2 linked regions of the Arabidopsis thaliana genome follow. The protein of the gene in region 1 purifies or fractionates together with the protein of each later gene. This does not show direct contact. Each region holds a gene or a part of one and is shown in the gene's direction. Other genes may lie near its edges.

Region 1 (6,155 bases):
CTGGAGAGCTGTGAAAAGGATGTCGCTAATGAATAACAATTTTGAAAAGATACTTGGCAGTCCCGAATGCGTTGAACTTATAACTCTGTTCCTTCAGAATAACTACAAGTTGGTAGACATCTCAATGGAATTCTTTCGGTGTATGCCTAGTCTAGCTGTTTTGGATCTATCAGAAAATCACAGTCTTAGTGAACTGCCAGAAGAAATATCAGAGTTGGTGTCCTTGCAGTATCTTGATTTGTCCGGGACATATATAGAGCGACTACCTCATGGTTTACACGAGTTGAGAAAGCTAGTACATTTGAAACTGGAAAGGACGAGGAGACTTGAGAGCATTTCAGGGATATCATATTTGTCAAGTTTGAGAACATTGAGACTAAGAGATTCAAAAACGACACTAGATACGGGGCTTATGAAAGAACTACAGCTCTTAGAACATTTAGAACTCATAACCACAGATATCTCGTCAGGTTTGGTTGGGGAATTGTTCTGTTATCCCAGAGTTGGGAGATGTATTCAACACATTTATATTAGGGACCATTGGGAGCGTCCGGAGGAATCCGTAGGAGTATTAGTTTTGCCAGCTATACATAATCTGTGTTACATCTCCATATGGAACTGTTGGATGTGGGAGATAATGATAGAGAAGACACCATGGAAAAAAAATCTAACAAATCCCAACTTCTCAAACCTCTCTAATGTGCGAATAGAAGGGTGTGATGGTTTAAAGGATTTGACGTGGCTGCTGTTTGCTCCAAACCTGATCAATCTTCGCGTTTGGGGGTGTAAGCATCTGGAGGATATAATAAGCAAAGAGAAAGCTGCAAGTGTTTTAGAAAAGGAGATTCTTCCTTTCCAGAAACTAGAATGCCTGAACTTGTATCAGTTGTCTGAGCTGAAGAGCATCTACTGGAATGCTCTGCCTTTTCAGCGTTTGAGATGTCTTGACATACTAAACAATTGTCCGAAGCTGAGAAAGCTTCCGCTGGATTCTAAAAGTGTTGTCAAAGTTGAAGAATTTGTCATAAAATACAAGGAGAAAAAATGGATAGAAAGAGTTGAATGGGAGGACGAAGCGACACAATACCGTTTCTTACCTACTTGTAGGCTGCGTTGAGGAGCCCCATGACCCAAAAAATGGGAAAATGGTTCTTGTGATGTGAAGGAATATTATGAGTCTCAGTTCTCTTAAGTAGAGTTTGATGTGGTGGTTGAGACAGCTCCGTCTACTGAGGTAGATGACATCTTGAGGTGGATTATCATCAAGAGTTTCTTCTTCTTTACGCTTAGGGCTCGTAGCGGAGGAATCGAATCCTTAGCTAATCTCCGACAACTTTTCCTGTAATATATAATAACACAAGTTGTAATTAAGAATAATCAAATCAATGAATTCAATAAATAAAAGCCTAGATGACAGAAATATTTCTCAATTGCAAAGATTAAGTGAATAACCTGAATATGAAATTGATCAGAGTGATCCGATCCCTTCAAATTATAAAGTCTCGCACACGTACTGAATTTTCTTCCAGCGTAAACATTACGTTTCGATGTTGTCATAGGCCCGAAACACCCGCCCCACCCGCCCCACCCGCCCCTCCGGCCCAAGGGATGATGATTCTTCCCCATGATTCTTTTGTCCTTTGCCTCCTAAACCCTAGCTATATATATATATTTATATATGTCATTTGGGCCTAACTTTTTTTCTATTATTCCACGGCCCAACTTCGGTTTGGTTTGTCAATTAATCTTTTAGCCGTACGGAATCGAAATCTTGACCCCTTAAACCTCAAAAAAGTGTCGTTGGTTTTGTTCTGTTACTCTGCTTTTTGCTTCATCTGTCAACATGACTTGCACATCAAACTTCTAACAACAACTCCAGTTTAGTTGTATGTTTGGATTGTGAGTGTTCATTGTAATGTAGCTAGGATTGTATTTTAAGTGGGAAGAATGTGAAAATATGTTCCTTAATAGTGTTCTCTCTCTGTTTCCTCAAGTATAAGATAGAAGAAGACAAGTATGCTAGTATGATGAGTTGATTTTGATTTCTCAATTTGGTTCGTCAGCCTATTTTTTATTACCCTATGTGATCAATTCCAGTGTGCACACCACTTGTTTGATGAATTGTCTCTGTGGAGATTTTTTTTTGTAAGTGTTCCTTTCTCAAGTGAAAAACTATTTCTCTATGGAAAATTTAAATGTTATTTTTGTGAGTTTAGTAAGTTCCTTCGTTGATCTGAGTTCAAGATGATTGCAATTCTACAGAACCATAAACCCTTAAATGTTCTTTGAGATGATTCTTAGCTTTTTTGTTTGTCTATTAGAGATTAGTCAACGTAGTGATGACATACTGACATCTTTGGATTGTTTCAAAGTTTACGTTTTTACTATACATTGACTAGTCTTAGAGATTTTATATTATGCATATAGTGACATAGACTTTTCCTTTCTTATCTATTCCTCTTCTCTACCTAATCTGTGAATCTCTCTCTCTCACTCTCTCTCTTTTCCTTGATTGTGCAGAGATGGGAGGTTGTTTCTCTGTTTCATTGCCATGTGATCAAGTAGTGAGTCAGTTCTCTCAGTTGTTATGTGTCAGGGGAAGTTATATTCACAATCTCTCCAAGAATCTGGCTTCTCTGCAGAAGGCCATGCGAATGCTCAAGGCTCGGCAATATGATGTGATAAGAAGGTTGGAAACAGAAGAGTTTACAGGGCGTCAACAAAGGCTTTCCCAAGTTCAGGTATGGCTTACTAGTGTCCTAATCATTCAAAACCAGTTTAATGATCTGCTTCGTAGTAATGAAGTTGAGCTTCAAAGGTTGTGTCTTTGTGGTTTCTGCTCCAAAGATTTGAAATTGAGCTATCGTTATGGGAAAAGAGTTATCATGATGTTGAAGGAAGTTGAGAGTCTCAGTTCTCAAGGATTCTTTGATGTGGTTTCTGAGGCAACTCCGTTTGCTGATGTGGATGAGATCCCTTTTCAACCCACAATTGTTGGTCAGGAGATAATGCTTGAAAAGGCATGGAACCGTCTCATGGAAGATGGATCCGGGATTTTGGGTCTGTACGGTATGGGGGGAGTAGGCAAAACGACACTACTCACGAAGATCAACAATAAGTTTTCTAAAATAGATGACAGATTTGATGTTGTGATATGGGTTGTTGTGTCTAGAAGTTCAACAGTCCGTAAGATACAAAGAGACATAGCAGAAAAGGTAGGCCTTGGGGGAATGGAGTGGAGCGAGAAAAACGATAACCAGATAGCCGTTGACATCCACAATGTCCTTAGGAGACGAAAGTTTGTTTTATTGTTGGATGACATATGGGAGAAAGTGAATTTAAAAGCGGTTGGAGTCCCGTATCCAAGCAAAGATAACGGATGCAAGGTAGCATTCACTACTCGTTCTCGAGATGTGTGTGGGCGCATGGGGGTTGATGATCCGATGGAAGTTAGCTGTCTACAACCCGAAGAATCTTGGGATTTGTTTCAAATGAAGGTTGGGAAAAATACACTGGGAAGTCACCCAGACATTCCCGGACTTGCTAGAAAAGTCGCTAGGAAATGTCGTGGCCTACCATTAGCACTCAATGTTATCGGTGAAGCTATGGCATGCAAAAGAACAGTACATGAATGGTGTCATGCCATTGACGTTTTAACATCATCTGCCATAGATTTTTCAGGTATGGAAGATGAAATTCTCCATGTTTTGAAGTATAGCTATGATAATTTAAATGGGGAGCTGATGAAATCCTGCTTCCTCTATTGCTCTCTGTTTCCTGAAGACTATCTTATTGATAAAGAGGGGTTGGTAGACTACTGGATAAGTGAGGGATTCATAAATGAAAAAGAAGGCAGAGAGAGGAATATTAACCAAGGTTATGAGATAATTGGTACCCTTGTCCGTGCATGTTTGTTGTTGGAGGAAGAAAGGAACAAATCAAACGTGAAAATGCATGATGTGGTTCGTGAGATGGCTCTATGGATATCATCCGATCTTGGGAAGCAAAAGGAGAAATGTATTGTGCGAGCTGGTGTTGGGTTACGTGAAGTACCAAAAGTCAAGGATTGGAACACTGTGAGAAAGATTTCTTTGATGAATAATGAGATTGAAGAGATATTTGACAGTCACGAGTGTGCTGCACTTACAACTCTATTTCTCCAAAAGAACGACGTGGTAAAGATCTCGGCTGAATTCTTTCGATGTATGCCTCATCTGGTGGTTTTAGATCTATCAGAGAATCAGAGTCTTAATGAATTACCAGAAGAAATATCAGAGCTGGCCTCTTTGAGATATTTCAACTTGTCATATACATGTATACATCAACTACCCGTTGGTTTATGGACATTGAAAAAGCTAATACATCTGAATCTCGAACACATGAGCAGTCTTGGGAGTATATTAGGGATATCAAATTTGTGGAATTTGAGGACATTGGGACTACGAGATTCCAGACTGTTGCTAGATATGAGTTTAGTGAAGGAGCTGCAGCTCTTAGAACATCTAGAAGTTATAACCCTAGATATATCATCAAGTTTGGTTGCAGAGCCATTGTTATGCTCTCAAAGGTTGGTGGAATGTATAAAAGAGGTAGATTTTAAGTACCTTAAGGAAGAATCAGTGAGAGTATTGACTTTGCCAACCATGGGTAATCTCCGCAAGCTCGGGATAAAAAGATGTGGAATGAGGGAGATAAAGATAGAGAGGACAACTTCATCATCGTCTCGGAACAAAAGTCCCACAACTCCATGCTTCTCAAACCTCTCCAGAGTCTTTATAGCTAAATGCCATGGTCTTAAGGATTTGACGTGGCTTTTGTTTGCTCCTAATCTTACTTTTCTTGAAGTTGGGTTCTCAAAGGAAGTAGAGGATATAATTAGTGAAGAGAAAGCTGAGGAGCATTCAGCTACGATTGTTCCTTTTAGGAAATTGGAGACACTACACCTGTTTGAATTACGCGGGCTCAAGAGAATCTATGCAAAGGCTCTGCATTTTCCGTGTCTGAAAGTTATCCACGTAGAAAAATGTGAAAAGCTGAGAAAGCTTCCATTGGATTCTAAAAGTGGGATCGCGGGTGAAGAACTTGTCATATATTATGGAGAGAGAGAATGGATAGAAAGGGTTGAATGGGAGGACCAAGCAACTCAACTCCGTTTCTTACCTTCATCCAGGTGGCGGTGGAGAGAAACATAATGAACTTCACTTTCTTCTACAAACTTTTGTTGTCATGGTCTAAAGACATTTGCCGGTGTGTAAATCTCTTCCTTGTCTCTTCTTGTTTGCATAACCGTTCTCATCGTTCTTTTGGTTAGTGATCATTGGATTTGTACTTATCTCTTTCTCTAAACGATGAGTGTTTGTTTCGGCTTCATAGAAACATTACACAGAGACTCATGAGAAAATGAATAAAAACTTGCAAGTTCCTAACCATTGTAATAAAATAATAATTAACTGTCTTATCTCGTTGACAGTTTTCGGATAAATTAGAAAAGGCGGGACCCACGTTAATTGGAAGATATCAACGGCTGGATCTGCTTACTCAGATCAACTTCAGCGAAAAAAATGCCACTCTCGTTGCAATCTCCGCCTTGTGCAACTCTCTCTGCTTCAATCCGAGTACTCTCCTCTTCGCTTACTTCTTTCAATCGCATGTATTTGTGCATTGTTTGTTTTTTATCTAATGGATGCGAGCTTTGAACTTCGCAGAAGGGACGATGGAAGACGCTCGCCGCCGGATTCTCCGTTACTCCTCTTCCCGCCGTTAACTTCAGTCTTCGGCGATCGATTCCTCGGATTCTTGCTTCCGCTAGTTCCTCCTCCTCTCCTGCGTCTTCGTCTCTCGAAGCTGGTATTTGTTTATATCTTTGATGATCGTGTTTCTCATTAATTAATAAATACGATTTCTGGAAAGACAAAACAAAAGTATGGGTTTTTGAAAGATTGACTACGATTCAAGCTTTCTTTTTATGTGGGTTTGTTTTTATACTGTCTTGAGTCACTTGTTAGGAAACTATGCTTGACAAAGTTGCTATTTTTGGTTTACCTTTCTTAGTTCAGGACCTTCTGGTTGCTTTAGTTCTTAGCTGAACAGTGTTGATTTATGGTTGAATTTGAAGAAACAAATTGTGTATTTGGTGTTTAACATTGTTCTTGGAT
Region 2 (6,034 bases), on another chromosome or scaffold:
TTCCATCACCTCGACGAGGCTATGTTCGGAGGATTCCGATTGTGATTCCGGCGTCGATGAATGCAGTTCATCGGAATGTTGTTTATTCTCGTGATCTTCAGATTTGTGATCATGATTTTCCGATGATTCATTTGCGTGATGGTGATTTCCAGATTTCTCCATTTTTCGCCGGGAAAAATTTTAAAACCCTATCTAACTGTTTTTTTCTCTGTTTTTGTTTTTTTTTTGTCTTTTTTTTTTGGTGTTTTTGAGGAAATTAAGATGGGGAAAAAATGGGAAGAATGGAGGAGATTAGTGTGAGGATTATTCTTAATAATCCATTATTAGAGTTTCTTTCTTTCTTCTTCGAAGATACTAATTGTGAATTTTTCTTCTCTGTTTTAGTTATTATATATTTTCTCTTTTATTTCTGAGGTTCGTTTTTTTGGGTATCCATTGGCCGTTGACCGAGAAGGGAAAGGTTATGCGTCTCACGATCTCTCCAATTTTTTTTTAATTGTACTTTATATATTAAGGAATTAATCAAACTCAGCCTGATCAAACTTGAGGTTTATTTATAATGTGTTGGAAAAATTATGTAATATTATGATTCAGCAATTTAGTTTATATTTGGGCTTATGTCATATACTCTGTGATCCAAGGGTATATTGTGTGAGTCCAGGGCTGGAAGCCTAAAGCTAAATATATTTGATGAGGCCTTTGTCTGTTTCTTTCATGTTTGTTTTATAAAGTCTACTATGCTTTGCATATTTTAGCCAATGACCGGACTCACTTGTATGCTTCAAATCTGGATTTTGCTCTTTGTTCCACTAAAATCATGCAACAAACAAACAAACAAAATTGCTACACCAAAATTACTTCTTATGTTTTTCCGCAATTTAAGCAAATTGTGCATCTAAGTTTTAGTCAAACCAATCATGCATTTGACGAGCATGGTATAATCGTTGATTGAGGCTGACGATCAAGGATCTATGAAATATGTTTACACCATCATTTGATTGGTAAATGACACGTTATCTTAACCAGAGGTTGATTGATAATAGTTTGATTGATAGTTAATACTTTTGATTGATAATCAGTTAATGCTGATTGTCAATTCCTTTCTTTTTTAAATGACTATATAACTAAACTGATAAGCGCTGCTAAATATTTGGTTCTCGCGTATGAGACTATAAATAGCAATATCTAGCAAGACATGAAAATGCAAGCTATAGTTTCGTTCTCTGCTTCAAGACCAAAGCAAAGTTATCTTTTTGTAGTGTTGTGGTATAGAGTTTGCTAGAGAAAAAAGGGGATATATCCTGAGTTTTACAAGTCATGTTGTGCAATCAGGGGGAAAATTAATCCACTTGTACAATAGGTGAAGGTAAAAATTAAGTTTTGACTGAGAGAACCAAAAAGACTTATAGGAGATTATGAGTTCAAGTGTCAACACTATCATCACTTTAATTTTACAAGGGTAAATGAGTTTAAAACAATTGTTTGGTGATTAATGACAACATTTCTATGACCAAAAACTATTTATAGAAATTCAAAAAAAAAAATATATATATATACTCTCAAAAAGTTTTATAAAAAGAAACTGAAGAAATATGATTTTATGTAAAGTGATTAAAAATAAGTAATAAGTTTTTTTTACTAATTTTGTTATTTTGACAGCAGAAAGAAGATTTGTTTGCTTAAATTAACAAAAAGAAAAAGAAAAGAAGTTAATTTGCTTGTATTGAAGATAATCTCGTCAACGAGAAAAGTTTCGAAGGAAGGATTTACTGAGAGTTTCAGCAACGCGTCATTGTTAATTCGCAATTGGTAATAGTGTGAACACTCGTGGACGACAAAAGAAGCTGCTTCTTCATCTCTCTCTCTCTCCTTCTCTTTCTCTCTCAACTCCAATTCGTTTTTACCAGTTTCGAATCTGAACAAAGTTGGGTTTTTTATTGGTACCCAGAATCTCAATTCTCCTTCTTTCCTTCTGGGTATAGGAAAAGTCTCGCCTTTTTTTATATTTATCCAATCGCTCCTGTTCATTGATTCCCCAGTAGGATTGTAGTTTTTGGTTATTGGGAAAATTGAGTAAAGGAGGAGATGGGTTGTTTCTCGTGTTTTGATTCGAGTGATGACGAGAAGCTGAATCCAGTTGATGAATCTAATCATGGTCAGAAGAAACAATCACAACCGACAGTATCCAATAACATATCTGGACTCCCTTCAGGTTTTGATTTACTCATTTGTGCTTTTTTATGTTTTAATCCACTTTCGTTACATGCTCATAAGATCTGGTTATTTGATCCTCTGGTTAAGCTAACGGGACTTGATCTCAATCACTGTTACTTTGGTTTTATGAGCTTGTCAGATGTTTTTTTAAGCTATTGGGCATGTTCTGATTCAACTGTGTTTCTTGGTGAAAGTGTCATTCTTTGCTTCAATTTCACTTGTTTTGATCTGATTGGGAAGTCTCTAGCTTGTGCTCAGTGTAAATTTTGTGTCTTGAAAAGGAATCGAACCTTGTGAGGATCAGGATCACGTGATCCCTACTGAATTAGGATTAAGATCTTAGATTTGGTTATTTGGGGATTGTGCCTTGGAGACATTGATACAAGTTTTATGCTTTTAGGGTGATTTGTTATTGGAGTTTAAGTTGGCATGAGGTATGAGAAGGCTGTGAGTGGATGTGTTTGGTAAATTGATTGGTCTTGATCATGACGTTGCAGGTGGGGAGAAGCTTAGCTCAAAGACCAATGGAGGATCAAAAAGGGAGCTACTGCTTCCAAGGGATGGACTTGGACAAATTGCTGCTCATACATTTGCTTTCCGCGAGCTTGCTGCTGCAACTATGAACTTTCATCCTGACACTTTCTTAGGCGAAGGTGGATTTGGACGTGTCTACAAAGGAAGGCTTGACAGCACCGGTCAGGTATTTTTTGTTTCGTTTGAAGTTAAGTAAATTACATCGCATTCCTATTTCTACCATTGTTGTTATTCATTTTAGTGGGAGATTTTGCTTCATATATTGAATGAGTCTTATCTAATAAGTGTCACTTTAGGATTTTTTTTGTTTCATAAGGAGTTTCGTTTGTACGTTTCAAATGCTAAATTTTGGAGAGAATTCCAATTTTATGTGTAGTCTTGGTAAATGACAAGAGACATGCTTGAAATTGTTTCTTAATACGTGTGAAATTTCAAGAATGACGCTCTTTGTGAAGTGAGTGTAGGGTAAGGTCTTGATGTTCTCTTGGCCTTCAACATTTTTCTTGAATGATGAATATGCCAGGAAATGAATATGCAAGATACTGCTTGCCATCTTCCGGTTGTACATATGTTTACAGTGTTAAAAAGATGACTGACTTTTTAATTTTGTATATATGTTAACATGAATTCTGCATACTTGGTGAACAGTTTTACATTTATGTCTTTACTTTTGATCCATGTCACCTGTGTGTTTCAGATCACTTGTTTAGCTCGATGATTTCGCAATACATAATGTTGTACCTCTGATCTATTTTTTTTTCAATCATTTTCAGGTTGTTGCTGTTAAACAACTAGACAGGAATGGTCTACAAGGTAACAGAGAATTTCTGGTAGAGGTTCTTATGCTCAGTCTTCTTCATCATCCCAACTTAGTCAACCTTATTGGTTATTGTGCTGATGGAGATCAACGCCTCTTGGTCTACGAGTTTATGCCGTTAGGATCATTGGAAGATCACCTCCACGGTAAATCTCTCGCCAGCCCTTTTCTAATCTCTTACCATTTTATTAGACCTCAGAGATTCCTTGTGATCAACATCAATCCAAAGATTCTTTCTTATCTTAGTCAATGTCAACCCTAACTTTAACAGATTCTTCATTCATTTATTTATTTGTTATAATCATTACCTATAAATTATACATGTAGACTTAAGTTGAGAAGTAGTAGTTGCTTGTTTTCTTTGGCAGCCTCTAACAAATAATTTTTTCCAGATCTTCCACCGGATAAGGAGGCCTTAGATTGGAACATGAGAATGAAAATAGCTGCTGGTGCGGCGAAAGGATTGGAATTTCTACATGATAAGGCAAACCCTCCGGTTATTTATAGAGATTTTAAGTCATCAAATATTTTACTGGATGAGGGTTTCCACCCTAAGCTTTCTGATTTTGGACTTGCTAAACTCGGACCAACGGGAGACAAATCTCATGTCTCCACTAGAGTTATGGGAACTTATGGTTATTGTGCTCCCGAGTACGCAATGACGGGACAATTGACAGTAAAATCAGATGTCTACAGTTTTGGTGTGGTTTTTCTCGAGCTCATTACTGGTCGCAAAGCTATAGACAGCGAGATGCCTCATGGAGAGCAGAACCTGGTGGCTTGGGTAAATCAACTCGTCATCATCTTCCAATTGATTTGCCATTATTCTCGTATGCAAGAAGTCTTGAGAATTTTTTTGGTCCTAATAGTTAACATTTTGGTGGTAACAGGCTCGCCCATTGTTCAACGACAGGCGAAAGTTCATAAAACTGGCTGATCCAAGGTTAAAGGGGCGGTTTCCAACGCGTGCACTCTACCAAGCTTTAGCTGTGGCATCAATGTGCATCCAAGAACAGGCGGCTACACGTCCTCTCATAGCAGATGTTGTCACTGCACTCTCCTATCTTGCAAACCAAGCTTATGATCCAAGTAAAGATGATAGTAGAAGAAACCGGGATGAAAGAGGTGCAAGGTTAATAACAAGGAACGACGATGGAGGTGGCTCGGGAAGTAAATTCGATTTAGAAGGTTCAGAGAAAGAAGATTCACCGAGAGAGACAGCTCGGATATTGAACCGAGATATCAATAGGGAGCGTGCGGTTGCAGAGGCTAAGATGTGGGGAGAGAGTTTGAGGGAGAAACGAAGACAGAGCGAGCAGGGTACTTCAGAGAGCAACAGTACCGGGTAGAACCGGTTTGGGTCGGTCTTGACCCTTTTTTGTTCTTATTTCTCTCAAGACTCTCATTTATTGTCAAACATAGAAAACAAACAAAAAAACATTGGGACGACGAGTTGCTGTACATTATATATGTGATGTTGCAATATGGGCACAAAGGTTAATAACCAAAACTCTCTAATTGAGATTCTGGAGAGTTGTGAAGATTGTTCATGTAAATTTTGTAGTCTTTCTATTTTTAAATTTTGACAGATATGTGTTTCATGATGAGTCACATGTGGCGATGTTTACGTCTCATTGAAAGATTGAATAGCAAAGATCCAATATTAAGTGTTTCTGGACTCTATTCATGTGGTTCAGTAGTGTGGCTAATGTCCACAATCGCGGAGTTTCGGACAACGTGGGTCACATGCCCTCGCAATCTGACAATTATTTTAAGGATGGCTTATTCAGATTGTAAGATTTTAGTTGGTCTTATCAAGTTTTTGTCGGGACTTTTTTTTACTATTGACAGTGTACTGTGTAGTCTATTGAAATGGATGTCGAAACTTCCCGTATGTTTTAGTTTTGGTGAATATCATTTCTTGGCCTCTAAATACTCGGAGAATCTATTCTTTACTAGATAGTCCTAAATTTTAGAATTTTTTAAGTAAGAGGAAAAATTATTAACTAAAAACCTCTGTCTTTTTTTCCATCAAGAGACATACTAATTTTATAAATTACATAGCGTATCCTACACTGGCATGCGTAATTTGTCAAAATTCGCTATAATATATATGATTCTTTGTCGGATTTTGTCGTTACGGTTTAAAATGTAAGTTAGTTAACAAGTATATATATTTCATATTATTATTTCTTACGAGTTATTTATAGTTATATTAAAATATTTTGGGGTAATATAATCATAGGATGGTTATAATATTTGTAGATAACTAAGTAATCTTGTATATTTTGTTACGAATAAGCAAATAATATAGTGATTGTCACTTGGAAGTGTGAGATATGCTTGCAATACATTTTCATCAGACCATTGGGACGTCTTGACAATTTTTTATTCGTTTCCAAAACTGGACGGTGATGATTTTTTGTACACTTGAAAATTAGACTCTACAAAGAAAAACACAATTCGTTT

Evidence for each region.
Region 2: the proteins of RPS5 (region 1) and PBS1 purify together in Arabidopsis thaliana (affinity purification with western blotting; one study listed by BioGRID). This does not show direct contact.

The regions. Positions count from the first base shown.
Region 1 is NC_003070.9:4,142,489-4,148,643, forward strand, and holds RPS5 (Disease resistance protein (CC-NBS-LRR class) family), read left to right. Parts: upstream 1-1,768; 5' UTR 1,769-2,145; intron 2,146-2,299; exon of another isoform or gene 2,300-2,520; 5' UTR 2,521-2,522; coding exon 2,523-5,192; 3' UTR 5,193-5,426; downstream 5,427-6,155. Other genes in the region: RFL1 (RPS5-like 1), read left to right, coding at 1-1,117; AT1G12211 (uncharacterized protein), read right to left, coding at 1,378-1,626; AT1G12230 (Aldolase superfamily protein), read left to right, coding at 5,562-5,615, 5,706-5,847.
Region 2 is NC_003076.8:4,174,769-4,180,802, forward strand, and holds PBS1 (Protein kinase superfamily protein), read left to right. Parts: upstream 1-1,737; 5' UTR 1,738-2,085; coding exon 2,086-2,212; intron 2,213-2,711; coding exon 2,712-2,914; intron 2,915-3,521; coding exon 3,522-3,711; intron 3,712-3,957; coding exon 3,958-4,349; intron 4,350-4,455; coding exon 4,456-4,914; 3' UTR 4,915-5,241; downstream 5,242-6,034. Other genes in the region: EXO70C1 (exocyst subunit exo70 family protein C1), read right to left, coding at 1-162.